Sus scrofa: one gene and its partners. The protein of the gene in region 2 interacts with the protein of the main gene of each other region in a pairwise test. Links are inferred from orthologs where the notes say so. Each region holds a gene or a part of one and is shown on either strand. Other genes may lie near its edges. The genes, in order: MOB3B, NT5C2 and NME7.

The links.
Region 1: the proteins of NT5C2 (region 2) and MOB3B interact in binary tests that used the Homo sapiens proteins (3 or more experiments, as listed by UniProt). The two-hybrid records come from large-scale screens. The link is inferred for Sus scrofa from reciprocal best matches to the Homo sapiens genes NT5C2 and MOB3B.
Region 3: the proteins of NT5C2 (region 2) and NME7 interact in binary tests that used the Homo sapiens proteins (3 or more experiments, as listed by UniProt). The two-hybrid records come from large-scale screens. The link is inferred for Sus scrofa from reciprocal best matches to the Homo sapiens genes NT5C2 and NME7.

What each region holds. Positions count from the first base shown.
Region 1 is NC_010452.4:38,433,377-38,443,598, forward strand, and holds the start of MOB3B (MOB kinase activator 3B), read left to right. Parts: upstream 1-4,556; 5' UTR 4,557-5,193; intron 5,194-5,260; exon of another isoform or gene 5,261-6,820; intron 6,821-10,222. UniProt on the Homo sapiens protein: Modulates LATS1 expression in the Hippo signaling pathway which plays a pivotal role in organ size control and tumor suppression by restricting proliferation and promoting apoptosis.
Region 2 is NC_010456.5:114,067,109-114,077,230, reverse strand, and holds part of NT5C2 (cytosolic purine 5'-nucleotidase), read left to right. Parts: intron 1-1,947; coding exon 1,948-2,039; intron 2,040-2,180; coding exon 2,181-2,238; intron 2,239-2,341; exon of another isoform or gene 2,342-2,545; intron 2,546-3,259; coding exon 3,260-3,353; intron 3,354-3,984; coding exon 3,985-4,038; intron 4,039-7,185; coding exon 7,186-7,269; intron 7,270-8,303; coding exon 8,304-8,345; intron 8,346-9,433; coding exon 9,434-9,541; intron 9,542-9,814; coding exon 9,815-9,881; exon of another isoform or gene 9,882-10,122. UniProt on the Homo sapiens protein: Broad specificity cytosolic 5'-nucleotidase that catalyzes the dephosphorylation of 6-hydroxypurine nucleoside 5'-monophosphates.
Region 3 is NC_010446.5:81,689,700-81,699,821, forward strand, and holds part of NME7 (nucleoside diphosphate kinase 7), read left to right. Parts: intron 1-4,920; coding exon 4,921-5,028; intron 5,029-6,146; coding exon 6,147-6,313; intron 6,314-10,122. UniProt on the Homo sapiens protein: Possesses an intrinsic kinase activity. Displays 3'-5' exonuclease activity with a preference for single-stranded DNA. Does not seem to have nucleoside diphosphate kinase activity.

The DNA of each region.
Region 1 (10,222 bases), on a different chromosome or scaffold from region 2:
TTGGGCAAAGAATGTGAATGTTATTCATTCTGTATCAAACGAACCAGAAATGTTCTCTTTTTGTTCCCCATTCCAGGAAATGTCATCCTAAGGGACCGTGAATCTTCTGGATTCAGTGTGGAATGTGACCCAGGCTGGGTGCTGGAATTTCTTACCCTCATGGGGGCGGGGCTACATGAGGGTGGTGTGAACTGGGCGCTGGAAAGAAAAGAAAGCAGTGTTTTTTGAGCACTCACCTGTCCGTACTGACAGTGACAGGCCCTGGGCTAAGTCTGTTACATGCAACCCTTCACCGAGTCCACATGTTTGCTTACATTATTTATCTTTTCTAGAAAATGAAGGAGCTGACTCAGAGGGCTTAGACACAGCTAATATGGATCTTTCAGACTCTGAAACCCATCCTCTTAATTCCCATGCACCTTGTCTCTCTATAATTTATCCTTTGAAGGATCCTGGCTTCTCTCTTTCCCCTAGAAGAGCTTGGAAGTAAGATTCATGAGTGGGTCCCATCCAAATTCCTCAAACGTATCCCACAGGCACCTGGAGATGATGGTCTGAAATAGCCTAAAAGTAGGCAATTTCAGCTGGGACAAATGCAGCCTTGTGGACTTTTCCACTCATGTGTCAGGACACATAGAACACTAGCGGTCATGAGACCCTGAAGCAATGTCCCAAATTTACTAGTTGTGTAATCTTGGGTGAGTCACTTAATCCAGGCTTAGCTACTTAATCTGTGAAATGGAAATGGTGAAAACTATACTTGTCCAAAGGTCAGGAATGGCTAGTTGCTCTCATTCTAAATTTTTGTTATTGTTGTTTTTGCCATGGCTTGCAGCAGCTTGATGTGGGATCTCAGTTCCCAGATCAAGGAACAGTGGTGAAAACCCTGCATCCTATCCATTAGACCACCAGGGAACTCCTCCCATTATCCATTTTTTTCCTCTTTTAGAAACTTTTCAGTCTCAGATATTTGAGGCTGTGCTCTGGACCCAGAATTATAGGTCTGTGATTGCCATTTTATAAGGTGGCAGACAGAGGTAGCCGTCTCTGAAAAGGTTTTACTCAACAAGAAGTTCATTTTTCTATTTGTTGCCTGTTGAGTTACAGCTTCAGACACTACTTTGGAAGCTCCTTTAGGTAATTTTTCTCCATTAATAACTGTAAACAAAAATCATTAAATTCTTTTGATCTCTAGCCTAGCTTTGGGGATCCCGGCCCTTATCATCTAACTGCATGCCTAGCTCCCATACCAACTAGTTTAAAATCTTGGTTCCCAGAGCACATCTGGCATTTTTCTCCCTTCCAGCACCTTTACTCCTGTGGTTCCCTCTATCTGAAACAACTTTTTTTTTGGGGGGGGTCTTTTTGTCATTTCTTGGGCTGCTCCCACGGCATATGGAGGTTCCCAGGCTAGGGATTAAATCGGAGCCTAGCCACCGGCCTAGGCCAGAGCCACAGCAACGCGGGATCTGAGCCGTGTCTGCAACCTACACCACAGCTCAGGGCAACGCCAGATCCTTAACCCACTGAGCAAGGGCAGGGACTGAACCCACAACCTCATGGTTCCTAGTCGGATTCGTTAACCACTGAGCCACAACGGGAACTCCCTGAAACAACTTTATTATCTGATTCCAACAACGTCTACCGTCTTAAGCCCAGCTCAAATGCCACATCCTCCCTGAAGCTCTCTACAATCGGCTCCATCTAGAATTCATCTAGCCTGTCTCTATGCTCCACAAGACATGTTCACCTCCCATTCACTATCCCCCACAGTCTTTTTGTTGTTATTGCTATTTGTGTTTCTTGGGTCATTTTTACTAGATCATAAGCATCTTCAGGGCAAGATCTAGAACTGCCCATGTGATAGTGGCAGTGCAATGTGAGGGTCACAGCCATGGGCTTCAGTCACACTGCCCACTCTAAAACCTGCCTATCTGAGGAGTTCCCATTGTAGCTCAGTGGGTTAAGAACCCAGCCGAGTGTCCATAAGGAGGCAGGTTCGATCCTTGGTCTTGCTCAGTGGGTTAAGGATCTGGCATTGCCATAAGCTATGGTCCAGGTTACAGATGCAGTTCAGATCTGGTGTTGCTGTGGCTGTGGTATAGGCCTGCAGCTACAGCTCTGATTCGACCCCTAGCCCAGGAACTTCCATATACAGCAGGTGGAGCTGTAAAATGAAAAAGAAAAAAAATAAACAAATAAAGCTTGCCTACCCGATGTACTTACCTGCCTGACCTTGGGCAAGTTTCTTCAACTTTCTAGTCTACAGTTTCTGTACCTATATGTACCACAGAGGGATCTTGTGAGAATTAAACGAGATATTCCAAAATGCCTAGCAAGTACCTGGCATACTATAGCTGCTTAATATATATTAAGTATCTCCAATGTCCATGGTGAAGGCTTTTCATTAATTATTTCAAGATATATTTATTGAATGCTGTATTAGTCCATTTAGGCTATTATAACAAAATGCCATACTCCTGAGTGGCTTAAACATGGACATTTACTTTTCACAGTTCTGGAGACTGAGAAGTCAAAGATTACAGTGCCACTGGAGTTTCTACTGTGGCACAGTGAGTTAAGCATCAGATTGCAGTGGCTAGGGTCGCTGCAGAGGTTCTGGTTAGATCCCTGGCCCAGGAGTTTCTGTTGTGGCTCAGTTAATGAACCCGATTAGTCCACAAGGATGCTGGTTCAATCCCTGGCCTTGCTCAGTGGGTTAAGGATCCAGCGTTGCCCTGAGCTATGGCGTAGGTCATAGATGCGGCTCAGATCTCTCATTGCTATGGCTGTGGCATAGGCAAGCGGCTACACCTCCTATGGGACCCCTAGCCTGGGAACCTCCATATGCCAAGGGTGCAGCCCTAAAAAGACCAAAAAAAAAAAGAGAGAGAGATCCCCAGACCAGCACAGTGGGTTAAAAGATCCCAGATTCCGCATTGCTGCAGCTGCAGCCTAGGCTGTAGCTGTGACTTGGATTCAATTCCTGGCTCCGGGGACCCACAGTGTGCTGAGATATGGCCATTAAAAAAGAAAAAAAGATGACAGTACCAGCTAATTGGAGTCCTGGTGAGGTATCTCTTCTTGTCTTGCAGATGGTCCTCTACTCACCATTGTCCTTAAGTGGCAGAGAGATAGCAACCTGTTTTTTTCTTTTTTCTTCATATAAAGCCACTAATCTCATAATGAGGGCCCCACCCTCATCAGCTCACCTAACACTAATTACCTCCCAAAGGCTACACCTTCAGATACTATCACATTGAGGGTTAGGGCTTCCACATATGGATGGGGTGGTCATAGCACATGTCTATATATTTTCTATAGATTGATTGAGCTAGTCTAGGGATAGAGCAATCAACTCAAACAAAAACCATCCTTGTCTCAGGGAGCTTATATCTGATGGAAAGAGTAAGGCAGTGTGTGGACAGAACAATTGTTCCCACAGATGGCCATATCCCCATCTCCCTAACATGTGACTATGTTATGGTACAAACGGGAACCAGGTTGCAGATAGAATCAACATTTGTAATCAGCTAAATTTTTAAAACAATTTTTACTATAGTTGATTTACAATGTTCTGTCAATTTCTGCTGTACAGCAAAGTGACCCCGCTATACATACATACACCTTCTTTTTCCATCATGTTCCATCACAACTGATTAGATGTAGTTCCCTGTGCTGTACAGCAGGATCTCATTGCTTATCCATTGTAAAATATCATTGTAAAATATAGGAGTTCCCATCATGGCTCAGTGGTTAACGAATCCGACTAGGAACCATGAGGTTGAGAGTTCGATCCCTGGCCTCGCTCAGTGGGTTAGGGATCTGGCGTTGCTGTGAGCTGTGGTATAGGTCACAGATGCAGCTCGGATCCAGCATTGCTGCGGCTGTGATGTAAGCCGGCGGCTACAGCTCCGATTCAACCACTAGCCTGGTAACCTCCATATACCACAGGAGAGGCCCTAGAAAAGACAAAAAAAAAAAAAAAAATTGTAAAATATAGTACTTTTATATATAGTGCTATAGTACTACATACAGTACTTTTAAACTTTCATAATATGGTATTTCTCAATCAAAATGCATTAAGACACTATCATATGGGAACTAAAAAGGTGTGCAAGACGTTCTTTTCCTCAGGAAGCTTATATTTAATGACTCTTACTATGCATTAAAAATACTTTCTATGGGAGTTCCCACTGTGGCTCAGCAGGTTAAGAAGCTGACTAGTGGCCATGAGGATGTGGGTTTGATTCCTGGCCTTGCTTAGTGGGTTAAGGATCCGACACTGTTGCACGCTGAAGTGTAGATAGGTTGCAGATGCAGCTCAGATCCGTGTTGCTGTGGCTGTGGCTCTGATTCAACCCCTAGCCTGGGAACCTCCATATAGGCAAGTGTGGCCCTGTAAATAAATAAATAAATAAATAAATAAATAAAATTTCCTATGTTTAGTTGACACTTTACAGCCCCTGCAACGTAGATACTGCTCTCCCCAATTTACAGAGCATACTAAGGTTTAGAGGTCATAGACCCAAGATCACTCAAATAGAAAGTAGAAGGCTGTGGGCTGGGCTTCAAAGTCCACGCTCATTCCATTAATCCCAGATTGTTCTAGAAAATTCGCTAGAATCTGAAGGTATTTTCCGATGATTAAGGCTCTCCTCTAGCATTTTTCATCAAGTTAGAAAATCTTGAAGAAGGTAAGCGATTTCCCCCTCTAGGTACCTTGGGTGTGGCCATTGTGGACCCAGAGAGCACCCTTTCTGATCTGATATCTTCTTCCTCTTCTCAGTCAAAGGGTCACTGTCTTTTCCGCAAGGCTGGGAGCCCAGCTCAGACTGTCCATTCCTCACCTCTTTTCAGAGGTAAGATAACCAAAGGAGACCTGTAGTCCTTTCCCGACGGAGCTGCCATTCCGCGGGCGGCCGCCAGGGGTCCCCATTCGCATCTCCGCACGATAACCGCGCGCCGGGTGCCCGTGGGGGCTGCTTTGGAGCCGCCGCGGCTGCAGCTGGAGCCCCGCGCTCGCACGCCCGCGCGCTTACTGAGAACGGGCGCCTTGGCTCCAGAGTCCCCAGCCAGATCCGCGAGCGTCGCCACTCCTGCCTGGAGCTCACCCTCTTCCTCTTGCTCCGCCTGCAGCTGGCTCGGCGCGAGGAGCCGACAGGGCCTCGGGGCTGAAGGTAAAACCCCACGGTGAGTGAGAACCCGCTCCCAGCGAGGGGAGGTGGCGCAGCCGGTAGCCTCTCGCGCCCGGTCGCGCCCTGGAGGGTGGAGGTATGGGGCGCACCTGGGGGCGGGTGCAACAGGAGGGCGGGAGGCAGCAGACCCCGTTTCCCCGCCCGCCCTCCGCGGGCTTCCGGGGCTGGAATCCGCGTCAGACCCCTACCCGCGTCCTGACTTCTGGCCGGCTCCTCCCGCTCTCTTCCCGGGTAGGAACTAGAGTCCAGTCTCCACCCTGGGCTCCTGGGCCTTGATTTTAAAAGGTCTATCAATAAAGTCCATCTTCCTTCGGGGTTCGAGTGTGTCCGCCAACCCATCCCGCATCGCAGATGACTGCAGGGTGCGTGCTGTGCTGTGGGAGGCGGGAAGACAAAGTTTTACAAAAGTGCGCCTGGGCAGGGGGGCAATGTTTAGGGCGTCTTGATACTGAAGGAGGAGGCTCGGCTTGGGGCTGAGAAGGGGAACTCGGCCAGTTCGGGGACTGTGGACGCTTCGCAGAGGCACAGGGTGTGTAAAGGACGTACAAATCCTGCTGAATCCCTGGGCCAACAACTGTCAAACATCTGGAATCCAAGCCCCTCCTTTTCCCTGCACCGAAAACCCTTCAACTTTACTTTGATCGCTCCTCCTGCCTTTGGACCCTTCTCGAAGGGTAAAGGGCCGACCCCCGGCGCCAGGCGAGTGACCAGAGACCCCAAACTCCTCAAGATCCCCCTTCACCCACCTTCCCGACCCCTCCCGGACGTTTTCCCCGCAGGGACCACGCGACAGAGCCGATTGAGATCGTGGCGAATGGCCTTTTGTTTCTCCTCGTTTCCCCTATTGTTTGCCTTTCAAACATCTGGCCGGGCTAGGGAGAGAAGGAAGCCCCTCTCGTTCTCCTCCCCAGCTCCCCACGCCCGCCACCCGCCCAGCTAGAGCCCAGGAACCGCCTGGGGAAGGAGAGGAGCCCGACCCCAGCGGGGCCGCCCCACCCGGGCCTTGTGGTTAAAGGGCGGAGGGAAAGTTGTTCCTTCTCCGCCTCCTCGGCTGCTTGTGGCCCGGGGCGCATTTCTCAGATCTTATCCCGAGCGCACCGCGCTCTAAGAGCGCAGGTCGGGAGGGGTGCCGCTGCGTTCTACCCCAATCCGGGGAGACCTTTGGTGGGTTCCAGTGGATTCCAATCTCCACCTAAAGGCGTGTGGCTGGGCAGCTGCCAGGCGGTGGGACAGGATTGAGACACGTCTGGTAGGCACACAGCTCTAAGGCTCTGAGGCCCGCGAGTTTCCAAGGGCCGAAGGTCAGGGGAGTCGCCTTCAACAGAATGGAAACGGAAATAACCTAGGAAACCTCGAGACTTTGCCTAGAAATGGGAGTGAGGTGGCTCTCTCCAGAATGAACCTGGAATTCTGAGTTTGTGTAGGGCTCCATGTTTAAATCCCTGGTCCCCTCTCAGCATTTAGAGAATGCACATGCACAACCGGAGGACACAGCGCCAGCGCCTCTAGAGCGGTGTTCATCTTTCCAAGTTCCTGCCAATTGGTGTTTTGGAACTGCCCCCGAGTTCCGCTGTGAGTGTGCCCCTGAGAGTGCAAGTGGCCCGGTTTCTCAGCCTTTCCTAGTAAGTTGGATGCTTACACGTGGTGCTTATTCTTTGTAACTGTGAATAATTAAAGAACTAGGGCTTATGCCTGAAACTAATATAATATTATAAACCAGGTATACCTCGGGGGAGAAAAAAAAAAAAGCAACCTTGGGCAAAAGCAGAGTAGCCATTCTGAGAAGGCAGGGTTCCCAGATTGTGTCCAGAGAGTCGCTTAGCCTGTGAGGGAGATTGTGTCTGCACACCTGTTGGAATCTATACTGTGCAGGATTGTGGTCACATAGAGCGCTTTCTCCAGTAATTTCTGAATCTTTCCAGTAGGACCAACAGAAGAAAAAAAGCAAGATTTTTGAAGCACCAGAAGCTACTTTACAAACATTTCATTGTGAAAATGATCCCCAAGGAAGGATTCCTTTGAAGTTTAGCAGCAGGAGAAGAGCAAGAAGGACCTAGGTGGTTAAGAAGTATCCAAAGGCATCATTAACAAAGTGGAAGGGGAGTTCCCCTGCGGCACAGTGGGCTAAGGATCTGGTGTTGTCCTTAGCCCACTGTGCCAGAGCAGAGGCTCTGATTGCTACTGTGGCACAGGTTTGATCCTTGGCCCAGGAACTTGTGGGCAGGGCCCAAATAAAAGGTAAAAGGACAATGTCTCGCCCAGTCTGCCCCAGTAAGGAAAACAGGATAATGGTAGTGAAAGATAAGCTTGTACAGTTTCTTTATTTTAGAATTAAAAAAAAAAACAAAACTTCCCCATCGCTGTGGAAAAAATAGAAAATACAGAGGTGAAAATTAAAAGTGAATGGATATGATATGATAAACAAGACTTTACTGAAGAACCTTATCCAGTTATTTCCTTAGAATAAATTTCTGGAGATAGGATAGCTAATATCTAAAGAGTTAATGCGCTTTTTTTAGGATATTTAAAATTGCCATATTGTCCCACAGTAAACGTGTGTGGGAGTTCCCATCGTGGGGCAGCAGAAATGAATCTGACTAGGGAACCATGAAGTTATGGGTTCCATCCCTGACCCTGCTCAGTGGGTTGGGGATCCAGCGTTGCCGTGAGCTGTGGTGTAGGTCTCAGACACAGCTCAGATCCCGAGTTGCTTTAGCTGTGGCTGGCAGCTGCTCCGATTCGACCCCCAGCTGGGAACCTCCATATGCCACGGGTGAGGCCCTAAAAAGCAAAAAAAGAAAGAAAGAAACATGTGCCCGTTTAGCCTCTCTCATTAATACACAAGAGGATTTTTTTTCCCCTCTACCCTACACCCCACTGCTATTCTATATTATCAATTCTTTTTTTTTTTTAATCTCTGCCACACTGGTGGGAGGGGAGTATCTTATTTTCTTCTTTTGAATTTCTTTAATCACAAATGAGATTAAACATTTTACATATTGTCTGTTCGTATTTGTGTGATGATGCTGTGTTCTTCCCTATTTTTCAGTGAGTGTTCTCCTTTTTTCTGACTAGTGGTGCGCTTAATAAAAGCATCCTGTTATGACTTCTGCCCCTCCCGGTACAATCAGACAAACTTTATTGATTTTGAAGTGCCAATTCTCTTCCTTCTTGCATTGCAAACGTTTTGGCAAGATGACAACCACAAATGACTAAAGAAGCTGACGTGGTCCCAGTAGAATTATTAGGGAAACCACGTAAAGACATTGTTAGAGAAATTTGTGGAAAATATCAAGTGTTTACTTTCTGCTGAGTAGCTTGCCTGCCCCAGCTCCTTTATAGCTTGAAACGTTTTTTTAAAATTTAGAACTATTAATGAGTTATTTCTACTAAATGGATTATACTAACTCATTTTATTGTCTGATCCTTCCACTGATAACCAGTAGACCATGATCCACAACTAGTTCTTGTTCTTTTAAAACATTTTTTTCTAACTTTTGGACTGAATTTGCCTCAGTTTTATCATAAGACTTTCTCTGTTGGCTATACCATTTGAGCCCTGTGCTTGGATGAATATTGAATCGAAACAGTTTGAAAGCATGCTGTTAACGCAGCAGCAGGAGAGGTCTTCCAAAAGCTGAACCAGGAGCTGAACTGGGTCCATTTCATCTCTAACGTGCATTTGGGTAGCCACAATCTCTCTGTTAATTCTTTTTTTTTTCCTCTTTTATAAATCTGTTTTATTTACCTCAACACTTCTAATTTGGTACTTTTATTTATTTATTTATTTTTTAATATTTTTTTTTTAATTTTCCCACTGTACAGCAAGGGGGTCAGGTTATCCTTACATGTATACATTACAATTATATTTTTCCCCCACCCTTTCTTCTGTTGCAACATGAGTATCTAGACAAAGTTCTCAATGCTATTCAGCAGGATCTCCTTGTGAATCTATTCTAAGTTGTGTCTGATAAGCCCAAGCTCCCGATCCCTCCCACTCCCTCCCCCTCCCATCAGGCAGCCACAAGTCTCTTCTCCAAGTCCATGATTTTCTTTTCTGAGGAGATGTTCATTTGTGCTGGATATTAGATTCCAGTTATAAGTGATATCATATGGTATTTGTCTTTGTCTTTCTGGCTCATTTCACTCAGGATGAGATTCTCTAGCTCCATCCATGTTGCTGCAAATGGCATTATGTCATTCTTTTTTATGGCTGAGTAGTATTCCATTGTGTATATATACCACCTCTTCCGAATCCAATCATCTGTCGATGGACATTTGGGTTGTTTCCATGTCCTGGCTATTGTGAATAGTGCTGCAATGAACATGCGGGTGCACGTGTCTCTTTTAAGTAGAGTTTTGTCCGGATAGATGCCCAAGAGTGGGATTGCGGGGTCATATGGAAGTTTTATGTATAGATTTCTAAGGTATCTCCAAACTGTTCTCCATAGTGGCTGTACCAGTTTACATTCCCACCAACAGTGCAGGAGGGTTCCCTCTCTGTTAATTCTTGCTTGAAGGTAGATGATTCTGAAATGGGGTAGAGGACAAAGGAGGAGAAAGTTTATTTCAGCTTGAAGATGAATTAATACCAATGAAGGACCACATAAGAACATTTAAGCAGGAAGTTCATGTTGTGGCTCCATGTTAATGAGCCCAACTAGTATCTATGAGGATTCGGGTTTGATCCCAGGCCTTGCTCAGTGGGTTAAGGATCCGGTGTTGCTGTGAGCTGTGGTGTAGGTTGCAGATGTGACTTGGATCTGGTGTTTCTGTGGCTGTGGCATAGGCTGGTGGCTACAGCTCCGATTCGACCCCTAGCCTGGGAACCTCCATATGCTGCGGGTTCGGCCCTGAAAAGATATATGCACACACACAAAAAGACAAAAAGATAAAGTATAGGAGTTACCTCCATGGCTCAGTGAGTTAAGAATCTGACTGCAGTGGAGGGGAGGGTTTGATCTCTGGCCTGGTGCAGAGGGTTAAAAGTATTCCGAATTGCAGGTTGTAGATCTCAGCTGTGG
Region 2 (10,122 bases):
GTTGCTTGTTTGTTTTACCTTGGCAGTCTCTCTCTAATAATCGTTCTAATTTCTTCTGTGCCTACTTTGGGATATGCCCCTGCTGCTCTCATCTGGACTGCTGTAGTAACCACCTAACTGATTTCCCAGTCCTTTGTCTCTGTGTCTCTTAGTTTTTGCTGCATAATAAATTATTTCAAAACTAGTGACTTTAAACAATGGCCATTTAGTTTAGCTCAAAATTCTGAGAGTCAGCTGGGCAGTTCTGGGATTGTTCAGCTGATCTAGAATGGTCTCACTCACATGTCTGGCAGTTGGCAGCCTGATGGCGGGGGCACCTCATTTCTGCATGTAGCCTTTTACGCTCCAGCAGATTTTCTCACTCTCATTCACATAGCAGCCTCAGAGTTCCAAGTGCAGCAGGAACAGGCAAGCCCCAACACAAAAGTGCTTTCCAGGTCTCTGCTTGGATCCCATTTGCTGCTCTTGAAGCCTGTATTCAAGGATGGAAAAATAGACTGAGTCTCTTAACTGGAGGACCTGCAGAGTCACATTGCAAAGGGCTAGGAAGGGAATTCCCATTGTGGCTCAGCGGGTAATGAACCAGACTGAGGATACGGGTTCAATCAGTGGATTCAGGATCCTGCATTGCTGTGAGCTGTGGTGTAGGTTGCAGATGCAGCTTGGATCCCGTGTTACTGTTGTTGTGGCTATGGTGTAGGCCCACAGCTACAGCAACTCCCATTTGCCCCCTAGCCTGGGAATTTCCATATGCCACATTTGTGGCCCTAAAAAGCCAAAAAAGCGGGGGGGGGACTGAGAAGAATTTGTAGCCATTTTTGCAACACACCTCACTTTTTTTTCTCCATTTTATCCTAACTCCTACTAATTTAATATTTTTACAGTTCAGCTCAGGTGATTTTATCCTTCTGCTTAAAAACTGTCATTGGTGCTCTGTTGACCCCGAATGAAGTATAAAAACAATAACATGAGAGCTCCCGTCATGGCCCAGGGTAACAGACCTGACTAATATCTATGAGGACACGGGTTTGATCCTAGGCCTCACTCAGTGGTTGAGGACCCAGTGTTGCCGTGAGCTGTGGTGTAGGTGGAAGATGTGGCTCGGATCCCACATTGCTGTGGCTGTGGTGTAGGCCTGCAGCTGTAGCTCCAATTCCACCCCTAGCCTGGGAACTTCTGTATGGTTAGAGTGTGGCCCTAAATAACATGATGTACCTCAATTCATCTTTTGAGTTGTTTTTCTCTGTTCCCCTTTCTCTACTTAAATTTCACTGGTGTCTGAATTGATCTGACTTTTAAGTGTCAGTGCATATGCTACCACTTTCATGAATCCTTCCTGGATTTTCCTCTCCACATTCCTGTGTTCACTTCTTTCCACTCCTGAGGTTGGGATGGTCTCCCTTTCCTCTGTTTTCTCATCTTTGCACCTTTCTTGTGGTAGTTGTGATGTTTTACCTTATTATAATTGTGTATGTGACTCACCTCCCTTACCAGATTGAGAACTTTTTAGGGGCTAGAACCAAGCTTGTTTATCTTTAAGAGTGACCCATGTGTATTATTTGGAACCCTGTCTTGCATGTAGCCACCAAAATATTTGAATTAATTTTTGAATGATGAATATTTTTCAGTTATTATAGTGCTATGGGTTTTTTTTGTTTGTTTTTTTGGTGTGTTTTTTTTTTGCCTTTTCTAGAGCCACTCCCGAAGCATATGGAGGTTCCCAGGCTAGGGGTCTAATCGGAGCTATAGCCATCGTCCTTCACCAGAGCCACAGCAACTCGGGATCTGGGCTGCGTCTGCGAAGTATACCACAGCTCACAGCAATGCCAGATCCTCAATCCACTGAGCAAGGTCAGGGATTGAACCCACAACCTCATGGTTCCACGACGGGAACTCTCTACTGTGCTATGTTTGAATGTCAGTTAATTTAAATTTTTTTTCTTTCAGACCAGAAACTAGAGAGCAGTATCCAAATAAATTTATCCAACGAGATGACACTGAAAGATTTTACATTCTGAACACACTATTCAACCTACCAGGTAGACTCCTTCTGTGCTTCTATACTGATATGTTTCCTTCTTTCCACAATCAATTTGTTGGTCTTTGCTCAAGGGGAGATAATGAAACAAGTTTTAATTATCTCACTTATAGCTTATGAATATCTATTCTTCATTTTTCAGAGACCTACCTGTTGGCCTGCCTAGTAGATTTTTTTACTAATTGTCCCAGATATACCAGGTATGTATATAGTATAATTTTCTTTTTCCAATTGATTTTTTTTAAATTAATGTACAGGGTTTTAGAGAACTGGCCATTGTAGGTCTTTTCTGCTTTTCTGAAGTGAATTTAGTGCTAGTGAGAGATGCCACATTGCCAGCCTGAGAGATGGGACAGCACCAGCAGCTCCATGCAGGCTCTCACCTCCCACACGGCCCCCTCCTTGCCAGTGTGCTGCAGCCATGTTTGGAAGGGACCACTTCTGATTGGCTTCTCCTGGGAATGAAGACGGCCAGCAGAGGTGCTAATTGTGACAACTGAGTGGGAGGTTTGTGTGATGATTATCTGTCCAAGCAGAATTGCACTAAAACCCCCCGACTCATTTCACAGCAGCTACCCAGGAGCCATTCAGGGATGGTAATTTAGTTTCATTCCCAGGCCCAGCAAAATTTGATTAAGGAATAAATAATGTTTATCCTCCCTGAAGTAGAATTTTGCCTAAGTCTTGAACAAGTTGTTATTTCCTTTCTAGGAGGAATTGTAAGTTCAGCCGTATGTACTAGAGTTGCTAACTTCTTATCCTCTTTAGGCCTTATCTACTTCAAGGCACTAAATTTAGTGGAGCACTAAGTCACTTAGATAAAGAGAAAATAGGCAATACCTTTGTACCTAGAGACAATGACGGAAAAGTCAGGGTGGAGAGAACCTAAATTACCCATTTAAAATGTTTCTTTGATGGAAACTTGTTTCTTAAAAGTGTTGGATAAAAGAACTGGATAATTTTGGAACTGGCCTTTTCACTTCCATTCAGTATATTCTTCTACCGTTTTGTATCTGTTCAGAGTTATTGTATTCCGTTGAACCCTATAGTCATCTCTGGTGGTCAAAATGGATTTTCATTAAGGGGTAATTATTTTCCAAATTAGCCGAACATCCTTTATCATGTGGCAGTGGAACCTTTGGGTCCCCTGGGCAGTGTTTGATATTCACTTTATTTACCCTCTTTTGGATTCCCTGTCATGTTCTTTGCATCCTTCTGTAGCTGTGAAACAGGATTTAAAGATGGGGACCTCTTCATGTCTTACCGGAGTATGTTCCAGGATGTAAGAGATGCGGTTGACTGGGTTCATTACAAGGTACCTAGGAGCTGCTTCTTCACCTGTTTACTGTCTGGCATGTGTTTTTTATGATCTGACATTAACTTTCCAAGTGCAGATAGAGCATAATTTTTTGTCTGTTAAAAAAAGAGGGGATTGGGGATTCCCCCCTGGGGATAACTCTCTAGAATACATTTGTCCTTATCTTTGGCTGTCCTGTTTACAGAGGTAATGCTGTTCTTTCCTCAGGGGTGGTGCCTGGAGATCTTATTTCACTTTGCATTTCCCAAACTTACTAGAAGAGATTTTAGTGTTAGGATTATACTAAACATATCTTTTGATGATGGCTTATGGTTCATTTGTTTTTTCCGAATACCTCTGATTTGGCTGATAACATTAACTAATGAATATTATGTTTACATTTATTATAAACTATACTGAATAGAATATGAAATACCTTTTGATTTCTAGTTTAAAAATAAAAATAGTTTTATATTTTAAACACATTTTTTGAGGCCTAGTTGCGTCAGATCACATCTGCCACTTTATCCTGGCCTTCTTTAGTTTGTCTACTTCTCCATCTTGAAATTACTAGGCTTATAGTAGACATGATTTTTCTAATGGACTTAAAAGTTGATTTTGTTCTTATTTCCTTTTTTTCTTCCTCTAGGGCTCCCTTAAGGAAAAGACAGTTGAAAATCTTGAGAAGTATGTAGTCAAAGATGTAAGTAATAAAGGGAAAAATAGAGCTACATGATAACTTTACCTATTAGGGAAATTAATAACAACCCTATTTATAATGCAGTGGACAAGGGCAGATATTTCTCTGTCTTGGCAGTTTAAAACATACTAAGTATAGTCACCTAGAGTTTTCAGCTAGAGTGTGGGTCTTAGTTTTTCCTGTTTTTTTTGTTTTGTTTTGTTTTGTTTTGTTTGTTTGGTTTTTTTTTTGTCTTTTCAAGCACCACACCTACAGCATATGGAGGTTTCAGGCTAGGGGTCTAATTGGAGCTGTAGCCTCCAGCCTACACTAGAGCCACAGCAACGCGGGATCCGAGCCTCATCTGCAACCTACACCACAGCTCAGGGTAACACTGGATCCTTAACCCACTGAGTGAGGCCAGGGATCGAACCCTCAACTTCATGGTTCCTAGTCAGATTCGTCAGCCACTGAGCCACGATGGGAACTCCAGTTTATCCTGTTTTTGATAGGCAAGACCCAGCATTTCATTTGTCCTTTTAGCTCTGATTATAATAATAGCAGCTAGAGTCATTACTGTAGGCACTTCACTGAGCTAAGTGATTACATGCATTATCCCATTTAATCTTCCATATAACCCTGAATTGATATTGTTCCCTGTGCTTTATAGTTGAAGAAACTGGGGACTAGGAGGATTAAATAAATTGTCCAAGTTCATACAGTTAGTAAGTAGTAAAGTCAGGAGTCACACCTAAATGTAACTGGATCATAACCACAGTGTTAGATCATCTCAAAAATGTACCTATGTGTGACAGTTATTGAAATTGTCTTTAACCTATCAACAGGGAATAAGGAGGAAAGTTTCAAAAGACATTAGTGGAAAATCTAATACAAGTTTTATTTATTTATTTTATTTTTTCCTGTGGCATATGGAAGTTCCCAGGCTAGGGGTCAAATAGGAGCTGTAGCCACTGGTCTAGGCCACAGCCACACCAGCAGGGGATCCAAGCCATGTCTGCAACCTACACCACAGCTCACAGCAATGCCAGGTCCTTAACCCACTGAGCAAGGCCAGGGATCGAACACACAACCTCATGGTTACTAGTTGGATTTGTTTCCGCTGTGCCACAGCGGGAACTTCCTAATAGAATTTTTTAGTATTTGTAATTTAGTTAAGAGCATTGTGCCAGTATTAATTTCTTAACTTCGATTATTATACTGGGATTAAAATGTTAATGTTAAGGGAAGTTGGATGAAGAATGTATGGGAACCCTCTGTATTATTTTCATAACTTTTCTGTAAGTTGGAAATTATTTCAAAATAGAAAGTACACACAGACATATGTATAGCACTGAGATCAGATACTTCTTTCTTTTCTTACCGAGTAAAAGTAGCAGAATGCAGTATTTTCCCAAAGTACTTTGTAAAGATTATTTGATTTCAGGGAGGTCCCATGTGCCTCAGTCAGTTAGGATTTGGCATTGTCACTGCAGTGTCTCAGGTCACTGCTGTGGTATAGGTTCAATCTCTGGCCTGTGAACTGCCACATGCTACAGGCACAGCAAAAAAGAAAAAGAAAAAGGAACATTGAGGGGTTCAGGAGAGGTTCCGGAGGATTTGAGTGAAGGAATTTATTTACTGTGAGAGAAGGAAAGGCTATTGTTCTTTCTGGTCACATCAGGAGTTAGAATTTCCTCATACATCTGCAGGTGGGTCTGGGCATTTGTAGGTTGCATCCTATACACATCATGTCATTCTCAAGGTATTTCATAAAATGAAAGTATACACAGTGAAGCCGTATCTGATACTCTTCATCTAGGATATTTAGCTGATGTTTAAAATCAGCTTCTACTGATCGCTGACACACTTAATTCACTTACTTTAAGAGATTACAAGGTAATTTAAACTCTTTCCTGAGGTGGATATAATGAGGAATTTAGAGACATGTTTTTAATAAGCATATAAGCATTTCTATATTTCATATAGAAATCTATTCAGTCCATGTATATTCTATGTATATAGTACATAATTCCCGCATAATGATAATGGTCTTCTAAAGGCAAAATTATAAAACCAACCAACCAACCACCCACCCTGTAAAAGGCATTCCCTCTTCCTATTTCATTGGACAAAAGTCCAGTATTTGACTTCTGGACTTAATATATACTGATAGTCCCAGCGTAATTTAATATATACTGATAGTCCCAGACTTAAGAGTTTTTGCCTTTAAAATGGTGTGAAAGTGATACACATTCAGTGAAAACTGTATGCCAGGTAAACTGAATTCTGATCCTTTTCCAGGCTATTGATATGCCCTGCAGTACTCTCATGATGCTGGGCCACAGCACTGAGCTATAGCTTCCGGTCAGCCACGCCATCTCAGGGGTCAGCAACTTATCTAGCCATTCCTCTTTTCACTTGCAGTATTCCATAAATTATATGAGATAGTCAACACTTTATTATTTATTTATTTTTGTCTTTTTGCCTTTTCTAGGGCCTCTCCCACGGCATAGGGAGGTTCCCAGTCTAGGAGTCTAATAGGAGCTGTAGCCGCCTGCCTACACCAGAGCCACAGCAATGTGGGATCCGAGCCACATCTGCAACCTACACCACAGCTCACAGCAACGCCAGATCCTTAACCCACTGAGCAAGGCCAGGGATCGAACCTGCAACCTCATAGTTCCTAGTCAGATTCGTTAACCACTGCACCACAATGGGAACTCCACTTTATTTTATTAATTAATTAATTAATTAATTTATTTATTTACTTGTTTTCTGTCTTTTTGCCTTTTCTAGGGCCGCTCTCACAGCATATGGAGGTTCCCAGGCTAGGGGTCCAATCGGAGCTGCAGCCGCCAGACCACACCACAGCTCATAGCAGCGCTGGATCCTAAACCCACTGAGCGAGGCCAGGGATCGAACCCAAAACCTCATGGTTCCTAGTCAGATTCGTTAACCACTGAGCCACAATGGGAACTCCGACTCCACTTTATTTTAAAATAGACTTTGTGTTAGATGATTTTGCTCACCTGTCGACTAATGTATGTTCTTGGCACATTTAAGGTAGGCTAGGCTGTCATGGTCGGTGCATTATCAGGACATAACCCCATCATAAGTGGAGGAAGATCTGTGCGTTTTAATGTTTTGCTTATCATCATAATTACATTCCAGGGAAAACTGCCTTTGCTTCTGAGCCGGATGAAGGAAGTAGGGAAAGTATTTCTTGCCACGAACAGTGACTATAAATATACAGATGTAAGTGCTAAATATTCATATTTGTTTATTTATACAAAGAAATTATTTTGGACTGAAGACTGTAAAAATAATGAGAAAGGTGGTTTTTAAGTAGAGTAATTTTTTTGCCATTTCATTCTGAAAACAGAAATGAAAAAAGCAAAAATACGGCATGCATCAGAGTGGTTCTCAAATTTTTCTAAATATTTCTTTTGACTATTTTCCCTGATTACAGTTGGCTACTTGAAGGTTTTCATTTTGGGGGTGTTTAAAACATTCATGCTGATTAAAATGTCTTCTTTGTCATTTCTAAAACTTGAGAAATCACACCCTTTATTGCACATATGTATGTTCATACCCTCCCTGCTTTTGGGAGCCAGACAGTAATAGATGGTGCAAAGATGTCTTGACTCTGAGCCATCAAATTTAATACCTGATAACTTTAAAAAAAATTTTGTAAACCATCTATAATGGAAAAAATAAAAATCATTATAAAAATTTTTTGCAATGATTAAAGCATACAGAAAAGTCGATTTAACTCCTTAATCTCATATACTTTTGCTAAGGCAGTTACAAGTTCATAGTACTAGCAAGAAACTCAGCGTTCCCTAATCCTCGTTATGTAAAATGTTGATTTAGAGATGTGATAATTCAGAGTAAGCAAGTTGGAACAAGCAGTAGGAAGGCCAGGGTGTGTCATTTCCATGTGAGTTATTAGTTTTTCCTACACCCATATCTCACATACCCCTTACCTCCAAATATATGTTCCAGTCTACTAGGAAAATTGGATATAGGTGAGTCTGTACAAAATTATCTCCTAGAAGAAGCCAATGTTCTACTGAGAATGTCAGAAGCTTGCTTTTGTTTGTTAAGATCGAGCATTAATTTTTGGTTTACATTACTATCTCATAAACTTTAGAGGTAACAAGAATGTGATGAATCCTATACTGAAAAAGACATGTTTTATAAAAAGTTTGTGTGTGATTTTTTTAGGTGTCAGATATCTCTTACAGAAGTAGTATATGGACCTTATGTTGAATTTTTTTTCTTTCCAGAAAATTATGACTTACCTGTTTGATTTCCCACATGGCCCCAAGGTACTCTATGTAACTTAATAGACTGTTGCTTTAGTAATAATCTGTTTAATCATCCTGAAATATTGAGGGTAAGGAATTGATCAGGAGCCATGTAGAAATCTTCATTAATATGATTAGCAGTAACACAGGAGTTAGGATAAAGTTGCTAGCAATTTGAAAACTTGGTAGACAGAAATAAGAGATTCCTGTGGTATTTAATAGGGTAGGATCAGAATAACTTTATGCCCAAGAAGCTCTGTACAGAATTTTTAAATTTGTGTGGCAGTGAAAGGAATTTTCAGGTTGAGGAAGATAATCTGAGAAGGAGAAAATGTGTATAATCTTGACAACTTCTAGATTCTGCTCTTATTGCTGCGTTTTATGCCAAGAGAACAGCTAACCTTGATGCTTAGCAGGTAGTATCATTCCTGCACTATTATACCTAGATCTAAGGAATACACATTGCAGTTTAGTCACTAGGCCTCTTTAAATAAATATACATCAGTAAATAACTCATGTTGATATCACTCATAAGGACAGTATGCAGTGCTCTTCAGCTTGACCTTAAAAGGTTAATGCTGTGGTTCCAGTTGAGGATGGAAATAATGTTAATGGGCATACCTTCTACATTAGTGCTGTGATTAGCCTGCAGTATAAGCCAAAGGCCAATGTGTACCTGGAGCCATCATTCTGAGAACATAACCCAGGAAATTTGCTATTAATAGTTCCATGTTAGTTGTGTACTGCAGTTCTGATGCTAATCTGCCTATTTCCTAATGTTTCTTTATATGTCTTACGTCTCTCCTTAGCCCCTGTGAGCCTCTTACAGCCCATTTTAGAGTATGAACACACCTTCTTTGATATGTTAAATTGCTTGAAGTAAATTAGTAGGGTGAAATGATTTAAAATAGATTGTTAGAGTCATTATATTTTCACTTTGCCTGCTTCCAAAAGGATGTGGCTTATAATTAGCTACACTATGTTTTTAATAAGTGTGGTTTTCTGGTTACACTTAGTATTTCTACATTCCTTTCATCTGAGTGAGATTAAATACGAGTGCCCTAAAGTTAGGAGTGATGTGTTGGCTTTTGCTGTTTCTCCCTTATCAGCCTGGCAGCTCCCATCGACCATGGCAGTCCTACTTTGACCTGATCTTGGTGGACGCACGGAAACCACTCTTTTTTGGAGAAGGCACAGTACTGCGTCAGGTGGATACTGTAAGTTGAGAGAGGATGGTCTGTCTGTGAGCACATTATCCTTCATATTTCTCCTTCCCCCACTCCTACTCTCCCTAAGGAAACAGGTATTTTTAATTTATTTGCCATCGCTCTTTGAAATTCATCTAAGAGTTTTGGTCTTAAGATAGCTGAATAATTCAAATGAATAAAGTTCAAAAGTAACATTCATTTGGCTGTCTAGCCAAGTAGCATCTTGGTGGAGATGGTGATAGAATAATAAAGCATTACAAAGTTCATATTCTCTTTTCACAGAAAACTGGCAAGCTGAAAATTGGTACTTACACGGGCCCCTTACAGCATGGCATCGTCTACTCAGGGGGTGAGTCCCATACTACCCTTTAATTTAGTCTAAGTCTTGGCTCAGACCTCACCGCGAAAGCTTTGGTGTCCTCCTGGGACAGCACCTCATATACCCTTGAGTATTCTAAAGATATCATCTACTGAAGGTAAACATGTCAGTCACTTGCTAATACGAGTCAGGGAGAATGGGTTTAAGATCTTAGTATCTGCTAATGAATCTTGGATTTTCACTGAAAGGATCAGGTTTTTGGTTTTGTTTT
Region 3 (10,122 bases), on a different chromosome or scaffold from region 2:
GTTAAGGATGCCAGATTGTTTCTGTGGTGGGATGGGTTTGATCCTTGGCGTGGAATGGTGGGTTAAGGATCCAGTATTGCTGCAACTGTAGCCTCGGCTGCATCTCTGGCTCAGATTTGCTCCCTGACCCAAGAACCTTCATATGTTGTGGGTGCGGCCATAAAGAAGAAAAATTAGCATCTTAAACCACACTTCACTGACTCTTGATTTCTTAAGATTCTTGAATTGGGATATAATTGCAGAGAGATATTTTGTTAAATATGTTTGATATCACAGGGATCAACCTGATTTCCTTATCCCATTTTGTAATAATCCATTCCCTTTCTCCTACATGATTATTAAAGATGATAAAACTTGATCCTGTATAGAATTATTTAACTTAGATAGTTAAATAACTCAGTTCATCATTAGTTTAGGCTCACTGAATGACTTTTGTATCATTTTACATAGGCATTGCTGTTTAACAGGACAAAACATTAGCTTTGCAAAGTTTGAGGGACCAAAGTTTGAGTTCTGACTTACTTCTTTCTTTGCTGTTTAACCTTGGACCAGTGTTCAAATTTTCTGAGCTTTGCTGTCCTTGTCTATGAAGTAGCATCCCTATTTCTGTCACCCTACATTGTTGTGAGAATGAAATGAAATAATTGCTACTTAGTAGATACTTTAAAAATTATTGTTGTTATAGTCAAAATTAATAGTTTTTAATTTCTTAAAGTTTGAATGGCACTGATTTATTAAACACTTTGGGAATTGTTTTTCTCTTGTCTGAGAAGTAAGAGATGAAGAAAAGTCATTCTAATAGAACAGAGGGTGAAAAATTGAACAGAACATCTTTAGTTTGTTTGCCTGTTTTCTTAAGAGACATTCTCTTCACTGATGTTCATTGGAATTAGAGAACAGGTGGAGCAACTGATATAGGAGATACTTTGGTTTCACATAATTCAGACTGTCGTTTTCCCTCGCACCCTTTATATTCTTACTGGCCTGCATTCAAATTCTACTTGTTTTGTATCCCACAAGACATTATTATTATTTTGTATTACATTATTTATTTAGATTTACCCACATTTTACATCTCCATTTTTTTTTTTTTTTTTTTTTTTAGTACTTTCTTCTATTCCTTTGATCATCTGGTATCATTTTCCTTTTTTCCTTCAGAACTCCCTTTAGAATTTCTTTTTCTTTTTTTCTTTTCTTTTCTTTATTTTTTTTCTTTTTGGGGCTGCACTCATGGCATATGGAAGTTCCCAGGCCAGGGGTCAAATCGGAGCTACAGCTGCTGGGCCTACGTCATAGCTCATGGCAGCCCCAGATCCTTAAGCCACTGAGCAAGGACAGGGATCAAAGCCTCATCCTTATGAACTGGTCAGGTTCATTACCACTGAGCCATGGTGGGAATCCCCTAGAATTTCTTTTAATGCAGGTACACTGGCAATAAATTCTCTGTTTTTGCTTGTATGAAAATATCTTCATTTCATATTCATCTTTTGAAGGGTAATGTTGCTAGTTATAGAATGTTATGTTGTCAATTTTCATTCTTCAATTTCTGAATGATTAAAAATAAATATTCTGGCTCTCTGGTGAAATTATTAAATTGGCTTATATTTTTTATATCTATCATGTTATTCTGAAGCCTTTGTCAGATGATAACTAGAATATTCCTGGATTTATTTCTATTGTGTTTTTTTTCTCTTGGTCGTCTTCTTTGGTCTTCTTTTTAGTTACCTTTGAACGCTTGACATTGGTTATGAAAAGCTGTGTTGCCATTTCTGGAGATGCAGAGGGCTAGAGTGGTGGAAGTATCACTTTGGTGTGATCAAGGACGAAGCTGTTGAGTGAATACAATTCACTCAATTGAACACTTGTTTGAAATTTTGTAAGGATCAGTTTACCTTTAGTTTACCCATGCTCTTGGAGTATAATACTCCAAGAGTCACAATGGAAAGGCTAAACAGTTTTCCAAGGATCTCCTCTTTGGTGTGTTTGAATTCTTGTTTTTCTCTCCCCCTCTCCCCAGCACTGTGAGAATACTGAATGCTCCATTGAACAAAAACAGGTTTGAGCTCATATTGCTATTGTTTCCTTTTCTCTGGGATCTTTGCCCCTAAAGTGCTGGCTTCTTTGGTGGGACCAAATTATAGCTTTTGTCTACTTATCCTTATGACTTTGTCAAAAGCTCTGTTGGCTTCTCTGCCTTTTGGAAGCCTTCCTCTACCAGCTTCTTGAGCTTCTCAGTCTCTCATTCAGCTTGAGTCTCATGTAAAAGCAACGTGACGAATGCCATGCTAACCTCAGTGAGATCTAGTCTTTCTTAATCTAGATCATCAAATCTGGCTGCTTCAAATGCTCTCCAAGGTCATCAAACAGATTTTTAAAAATATCTCACTTCTCTAGTTGTTCTTGGATAGTAGCATTGATTTGCTATAAGCTACATTGTCAACTAGAATAGTAATTCCTCAGTTTATCATCTTTATATTATTTTCTGGATAACCAATCATGAGAAATTCTTCTGTCTGCCTCAGAATTAAAGGGTGATTGGCAGATTTTATGGTTAAGCTGCCTGGAAAACTGGAAGTGCCAGATTTCATTGGTTTTTCATTTGCTTCACTCTCTTTGCCCTTTTATTATTATTATTTTTGTCTTTTGTCTTTTTTAAGACCTCACCCGCGGCATATGGAAGTTCCCAGGCTAGGGATTTAATTGGAGCTGTTGTCACTGGCCTACACCAGAGCCACAGCAATGCCAGATCCTTAACCCACTGAGCAAGGCCAAGGATCGAACCTGCAACCTCATGGTTCCTGGTCGGATTTGTTTCCACTGTGCCACCATGGGAGCTCCTTTTACCTTCGCTTAGATGTCTCACCATTTCATCCATCTCATATATTATTTATTTTAGTGAAGGCAATATTTCAATGATATTTTTGAGCAAATTCCATAAAAAAGAGCAAAATAGTGCCATCTGCAGCAACATGGATAGAACTAGAGACTCTCATACTAAGTAAGTCAGAAAGACAAATACCACATATCACTTATATCTGGAATCTAATATATGGCACAAATGAATCTTTCCATAGAAGAGAAACAAACTCATGGACATAGAATACAGACTTGTGATTGCCAAGGGGAAGGGGGAGGGAGTGGGATGGACTGGGAGTTTGGGGTTAGTAGATGCAAACTATTATATTTAGAATGGATAAGTGATGGGTTCCTGCACAGGGAACTATATCTAGTCACTTGTGATGGGACATGATGGAGAATAATGTGAGAAACATTAAAAAAATTTTAATATAGATAGTAAAATTTTAATGAACTACTAATATTTAAATTTATTAAAAGGGGAGTACAATACTAAAATGCACAGTGAAACCTACATTTTGAAAACCTGTATTGAAAGAATAAAAATAAAAAAACTGTATTTATAAGGATCAATGAAAATAGTAAATGAAGAAAGGCTTGTCATAGTATATCTCATTTTTATTTTCTCTTGACTAATAAGCATTGTTTAAATGTGTCATTTTGGAAATTCCCAAACCAGTTATAATTAAAAAAACCCAAAAAACATTATATATAAAAAAAAGTGAAAAAATGTTTCTTTTTGGATGATTATGAGAAAAAAATAAAAGAGTGTCTTAAAAACTACCTACATTGTAGCTGATGAGTATATATCATAAATATAACTAGATATACTACTATTAGAATTTGTAAGTGTATTATTAACATGAAAGGAATCCATTCATATACCCTAACCAGAGAATCGAATTCTAAATCCAGAATTAGCAACAAAACACTTAGATTTTCTTCCTGTGTCTTCATTTGCTTATCTTGATGAGGGATCTTTGAGGGCTAAGATATTATTAATAACATAGGATGGGAAATCCTTCACTAGACGAGGGAAGAGGGCCAATCTTTGACTTATGTTTTCATTGTATGTACCTCACATATCTTCAGCTAGAGGTAGCAAAATGACCAAAGGTCCTCAGCTACTGTGCTCTGAAATCTACTGCTGCTTTTCTACCTAGCACATGCTCCCCCAGGGCTCACTCGGTGACTGAGAGGAGCAGAGTTACTAAAGCAGGCTTCTCCTCTGTGGAGTCAAGGAACTATCTGAGGGCTCTTGGCTTGAGCACTCCCCGATGGTCTTACTGAACCTTCCTTGGACTGTCTAGCAATCCAGGAGGATTTCACCCAGCCTTCCTTCTCTCTCTCCTTCCCTCAAGGTCAGATTCGTATGGTGGTCTGCCAGCTTCCCCTGGATCCCTCCCTATTTTCCCTTGCAGCAACTTTCCATACAGAATTTCTTTTACAGGAATAAAATTCTTGCATGTTTAATCCCATCTTGGCATCTTGTCTGCTTCTTGGAGGATCTAGACTAGCACATTCTCCCTCTATTTCTGTAAAAGATACTATCATGTGAAATTACTAAGGAGAGAAAAGATACTTACTATAATTGAATGACAACAATATTCTAATACGACTGGATTCTTAAAGTTAGGTCAGTTAACACTTCATGTAATTTAGGGGTAGCCTCTCAGAAATTTTTTTTTCCCATGCTAGTTTATTGATCATCTGCCTATGTGTAAACTTGCTTTCAGAAGGACTGAACTATCACAGTAGTCAGATCAGGAGTTGATGTTCTAAAAAACTGTCATTTTACTCAGGATGGTTGGATGGCCATGAAGTATTAAGCAGCTCATATGTCATCTTTGAGATATCTAAGGATATTTAAAAAGAAATTAGAAGGAATATTTCTGAGTGTTTTGATAGCTGGTAATATTGTTGAAATTCTATTCAGTATGACAAGAATTATTCAATATAATAAGTAGTAACAGATTTGTTGCAAATATTTACTGATTCTTTAAATTTGTATGACTTTGAGTCCTTATATTTTATATGTTCATGTTAAAATTCTTCTCTTTGCAGAATCACAGTGAAAGATTCGTTTTCATTGCAGAGTGGTATGATCCAAATGCTTCACTATTTCGACGTTATGAGCTTTTATTTTACCCAGGGGATGGATCTGTTGAAATGGTAAATGAACCTTTCTTCACTTAAAAGCGGGTAACAGGATGAAGGTGGGCTAGGGAGAGGAAAAGGATTGCCTTTTTTGTAGTTACTTTTAAAAATACATCCTTTTTATTTTGATATTGTAATTCCAATATAAGAAGATACTTTTGTACCTTTATTTTTAATAGAAATTATTATTTTTCTTTTTCTTTTTTTTTTTTTAGGGCCACACCCATGGCATATGGAGGTTTCCAGGCTAGGGGTCCAATCAGAGCTACAGCTGCCGGCCTACACCACAGCCTCAGCAACATGGGATCCGAGTCGCCTCTGCGACCTATGCCACAGCTCACAGCAAGGCCAGATCCTTAACCCGCTGAGCGAAGCCAGTGATCAAACCGGCAACCTCATGGTTATTAGTCGGATTCGTTTCTGCTGCACCACATTGGGAACTCTGAAGTTATTTTTTTAGTTAGAAAACTGAAGTGGGATTATTCATGTTTTGGACTAAGCAATAATCAGCAAGTGGCTATAGACAAAGATGATCATGATCATAAATATGTTACCGTTGTTGAGTGCTGTTCATTACTGTTATCTCTACGAAAAGCCAAATAGAAGAAGATTGAACTCAAAGAGTCCCACTTTATGTCCCTTCATTGACAACCCCTTTTGCAGGTGGATCTGTTTGGTAATTTGGATCTTGTATGGGCAAGAAAGGAGAAATTTGGAATTCTTCAGATTTCATAGCTACCAATTTGTGGCAATGGTTTGGCAATACATAAATCGTTCTATTCAAGGTTTTTAAAAGTATTAAATGTGTACTTTTTATGTTATTACTGGATTAGACTAGGAAATGGATAAATTTGTTTTCCTTTTGGCCATGGCATGCAGGTACTTGATGTGGGATCTCCTTTCCCAGACCAGGGATTGAACCTAGGCCACAGAGGTAAAAGTGCTGAGTCCTGACTAGGCCACCAGGGAACTCCCATAAATTAGAACAGAAATTATGATTTGTATTTGTAGCAATAACGAAAAAGAATGTAACATGTTTAATAAAGCAGAATTAAGAACTATTTCTAGTTTATAATAAGATTAACATTTTCTATTGATATTGATTTGCTTTATTGTGGTGTTTTTGGTTCCAGCATGATGTAAAGAATCATCGCACCTTTTTAAAGCGGACCAAATATGAAGACCTTCACTTGGAAGATTTGTTTATAGGCAACAAAGTGAATGTCTTTTCTCGACAACTGGTGCTAATTGACTATGGGGATCAATATACAGCTCGTCAACTGGGCAGTAAGAAAGAAAAGTAAGAAATCAATTATGTAATCTTTTTTCTTTTTTAATTCTGAGATCATTATGTATATCTTGGTACCAAATTCTAATTTCTTGTTTCTATCCTGTTTCTACAGTGGAGATACTTTTCAGTGACCCAATTCAGTGTTATGACATGTTCAGAATTTTGTGGAGCAAATTCTATGATTTGTTCTTCACTCAAGTAAAAAACGATGCCCATAATCTTGCACACTGATTATTTTCTAGAGGAAAAAGATGCACACCTTTTATACACCCTCATCATTCTTTTAATTGGGAACTGAGAATCCAAGTCTTTGGTGTATTGGATAACTAGCCTCTTGAGAAGAGTAGTCATGAGTACCATACGCTCAGTAGAAACTCAGAGTAAAGTAAAGCTGTTTCTTGCAGAAGAATAGGAAAGACTTTGTGAGGATATTTGACAGGATCATGAAAGATGGACTGAATTTTTACCAGGGATGGATCAAGTTGGAGGAATGCTGGTCAGAGGAATGAGAATGAACAAAAGTACAGTGAAATGTTATGTACTGGGAGGAGCCCATTGTTCTGCATGGCTGACTTGGTGGTTAAAGTATTTTTAAAATATACATAGTAAAATAGTCTGAATTAGGATGGTAGCAATATGTAGGAAGAGGAAGGAGGAAAAGTATAAGATTAGTGGGGGTAGAGTAATAATAGACATGATAAGCATTAATATCTGTTAGCTATTTTTATGTCAGGCATTGTGTTAAAATGATTTGCACAAGTCATTTATTTAAGTCCCACAACAGCCTAAGACAAAAGTTAATAATATCATTATTCGCTCCACTTTACAGATGGAGAAGTTGAGGCTTAGAGATATTAGGTAACTTACCGAAGGTCACAGAGTAGAGGCAAAATTAAAGCCCAGTGTCTGCCTGAATCAAGAATGGGAAGATTTAATCATAGGAGAATGGAGAGGACTTGCAAAATGGTGGCCTTCTTTCTGTCTCAGTTCATTTTTATGTCTCCTGCGGCACTGGGCACATCTCCTCACAAATTACAAGCACCATGTTAGCTGAATGAATCAACGTATAACAGTTTGAAACTTACCTACTCTTTCCTTTTTTTTCATTTCCTCCCTGTTTTCAAATGTAGATTTTTGATCTAGTTGGCAAAGATGTTTTTGTCTAGATTGTAATATATGTTCTCTATTTTCGAGCTTTATCCACAGACATAATAGATGTCTGAAAAATAGTGATTGATCGATTGAAGACAGGATGTATGAGTATTATGAAAATATAAAAACATTATGATACAGAGAAACAATCTGTCTTCAAATCATAACTACACCCCTAGAGATCACTGTAGTGATGCCTTAAACAGTAAATTATTCGCAGGGGATGCCCCACAAAAATTTGTTGACTGAATGAACTTACATTGTTGAAAATTGTATTTGGAGGATGAGCTTCTGGCTGAGTGGCCTCCTACCTTTTCCCTTCCCCACCCCAGTTGCTTGTGGCTCTTCCTGTTAAGTGGAGAAACTGCAGCATGATGCCTTCCTTCTGTGTGTCTCTCTCGTCTTCTCTCTCCATCGTTTGTCAAAGCTACGTTTGTTCTTCTGACTTGTCCTCAGTTTTGATTGAGAAGAGAGACAGAACAAGTTGGAGATGTAACTGAAAATCAGGCTATTCAGAAAACAAAGACTTCTCATGTTTTTCTTCTGAATGTCAATTTTTATTATTATTAAAATGACATTTTAATTTCCAATGTACATTTATGAGTTTGCAGCTTTGTGAGTCTAATAAGAACTACATTTGAAATGCAGTTTTAATTCTTTGCTCATCTTTCTTTGCTCTGGTTTCTGTGGTTTATATTAAATTGTATTGTGCTGATTTGGATTCATTGCATTTGTGGAGTGATTGTTGCAGTAATGAAAAAATAGGGATCACTGGTGGAAGTTAAGGCTGCATGTGTAAAAAGCTCCAAAAACTATTTAATTCTATAGGAAAAAACCTGTCAAACTATTTTTTGAGGTTTGCTACTGAAATAACTAGCAGATTACCTAATATCTGAGTTCCGCCATAGTAATATTTTTTTTATTTTTTATTTTTTATTTTCTTTTAGGGCCACACCCTAGGGGTCCAATCGGACCCTTAGGGGTCCCAAGCTAGGGGTCCAGTTGGAGCTGTAGATGCCAGCCTATGCCAGAGCCACAGCAATGTGGGATCCGAGCCGCATCTGTGACCTTCACCCACTGAGAGAGGATTCTTAACCCACTGAGAGAGGCCAGGGATTGAACCCGCATCCTCATGGATGCTAGTCGGGTTCATTAACTGCTGAGCTATTATGGGAACTCCCCCATAGTAATATTTTTTATGAGACTTCTTTATAAGCACTTTATAATTCTTGATGTTCATTGTGGGTATTACTACACAGGTGTGGATGGATCAGCATGGTGTTGAATGACTCCTAAAAAAGGAAAACCAAAGGATAACTCTAAAAAAGGAAAACCAAAATGGAATGTTAGATAAATAGGAATCACATCGTTATGAAATATACTGGTAAAAGTCTATGGGATTAACGAAACACTAACCACAGTTCCTTTACTTACAAGTAATAAGTATGTATAGTTTTATTGTTTGAGTACATGCTATATGCCATTCTTATGGTATGCACTTTTCATATGCATCTCAGTTTAAGACTACAAATTTTCATTTAAACTGGCAAAAATAAATGAATTAGGGAGACAGGGTTAATAATATGACCCAAACAAAATAAAATAATAATAGCTATAACAATTATAACTTCTATTTATTAACTCTGATTTGTCTACAATAAATGTTGATTCCACTTTACAGAACAGTTCAGTAACTTGGCCATATTCACACCATTATAAAGTAAAGGGAAATGAATAAGTCTTATCATGTTTAACTCTAAAAAAACTCATTATCTTTCTGTTAAAATTCTAATTAATATGTTGGTAAATACTATTGAATTGACTGATTTAATAATAGGAGGAACAGAAGAATGTAAAGACAGCTTTTAAATATGTGGGCTTTGTAAATATAATTAATTAAAATATGTGCAGTATTATATTTTTACTGACTTAAAATTGTTTCACCATTTTCTCTTCTGATTCTTTCTTAACTGCATGTGGGTTAACAAATCCAGCAACCGTCTGGGTGATTTAAACAGAATTCTTCAGAATTCAAGAGTTTTTAACATGTACTATTTCATTTAAGTGACCAAAAATTAGGCATATGGAGAAAATGCATGCAGGTCTATCATGGTCCCATAGAAATAGCTTTAATGTAATAATTATAACTAAGTCTAACTCTCAGTTTTATATGGTGTCAAGGAAAATGTATGAGCTGATTACATTCCTATCATATATATCATTCTCAACTCCTTTCTTTCTGGAGTAAAGCCTAGTGAGAGGGAGGAGTAAAGTTGATCATCATGGTGCCCATCTGCTAATTTTGAGGCACTTATCCAGGTAAAAATAGAATTCAAATTAGTTCATAAACTAGCCTCAGCTTTCTAATTCCTGTTAACTGTAGAAACCTGACATTTGACTCACATGTCTATCCTTTTACTTTTTTTTAAAAGCCACTTTATTGAGGTATAATTGACATACAAAAAGCTGTAGATATTTATCACATGAGTTTGGAGATAAGTATACACCTATGAAACCATTACCGCACTCAAGAATAAAATTTATCTATCACCTCCGAGAGTTTCCTCCCACTCCCTTCTTTTAAACTATTTCTTATATTGATTTTTCTTTTAAGAAAACTTAATGTAAGATATACTCTCTTCACTAATTTTTAATTTGTTCTCTTT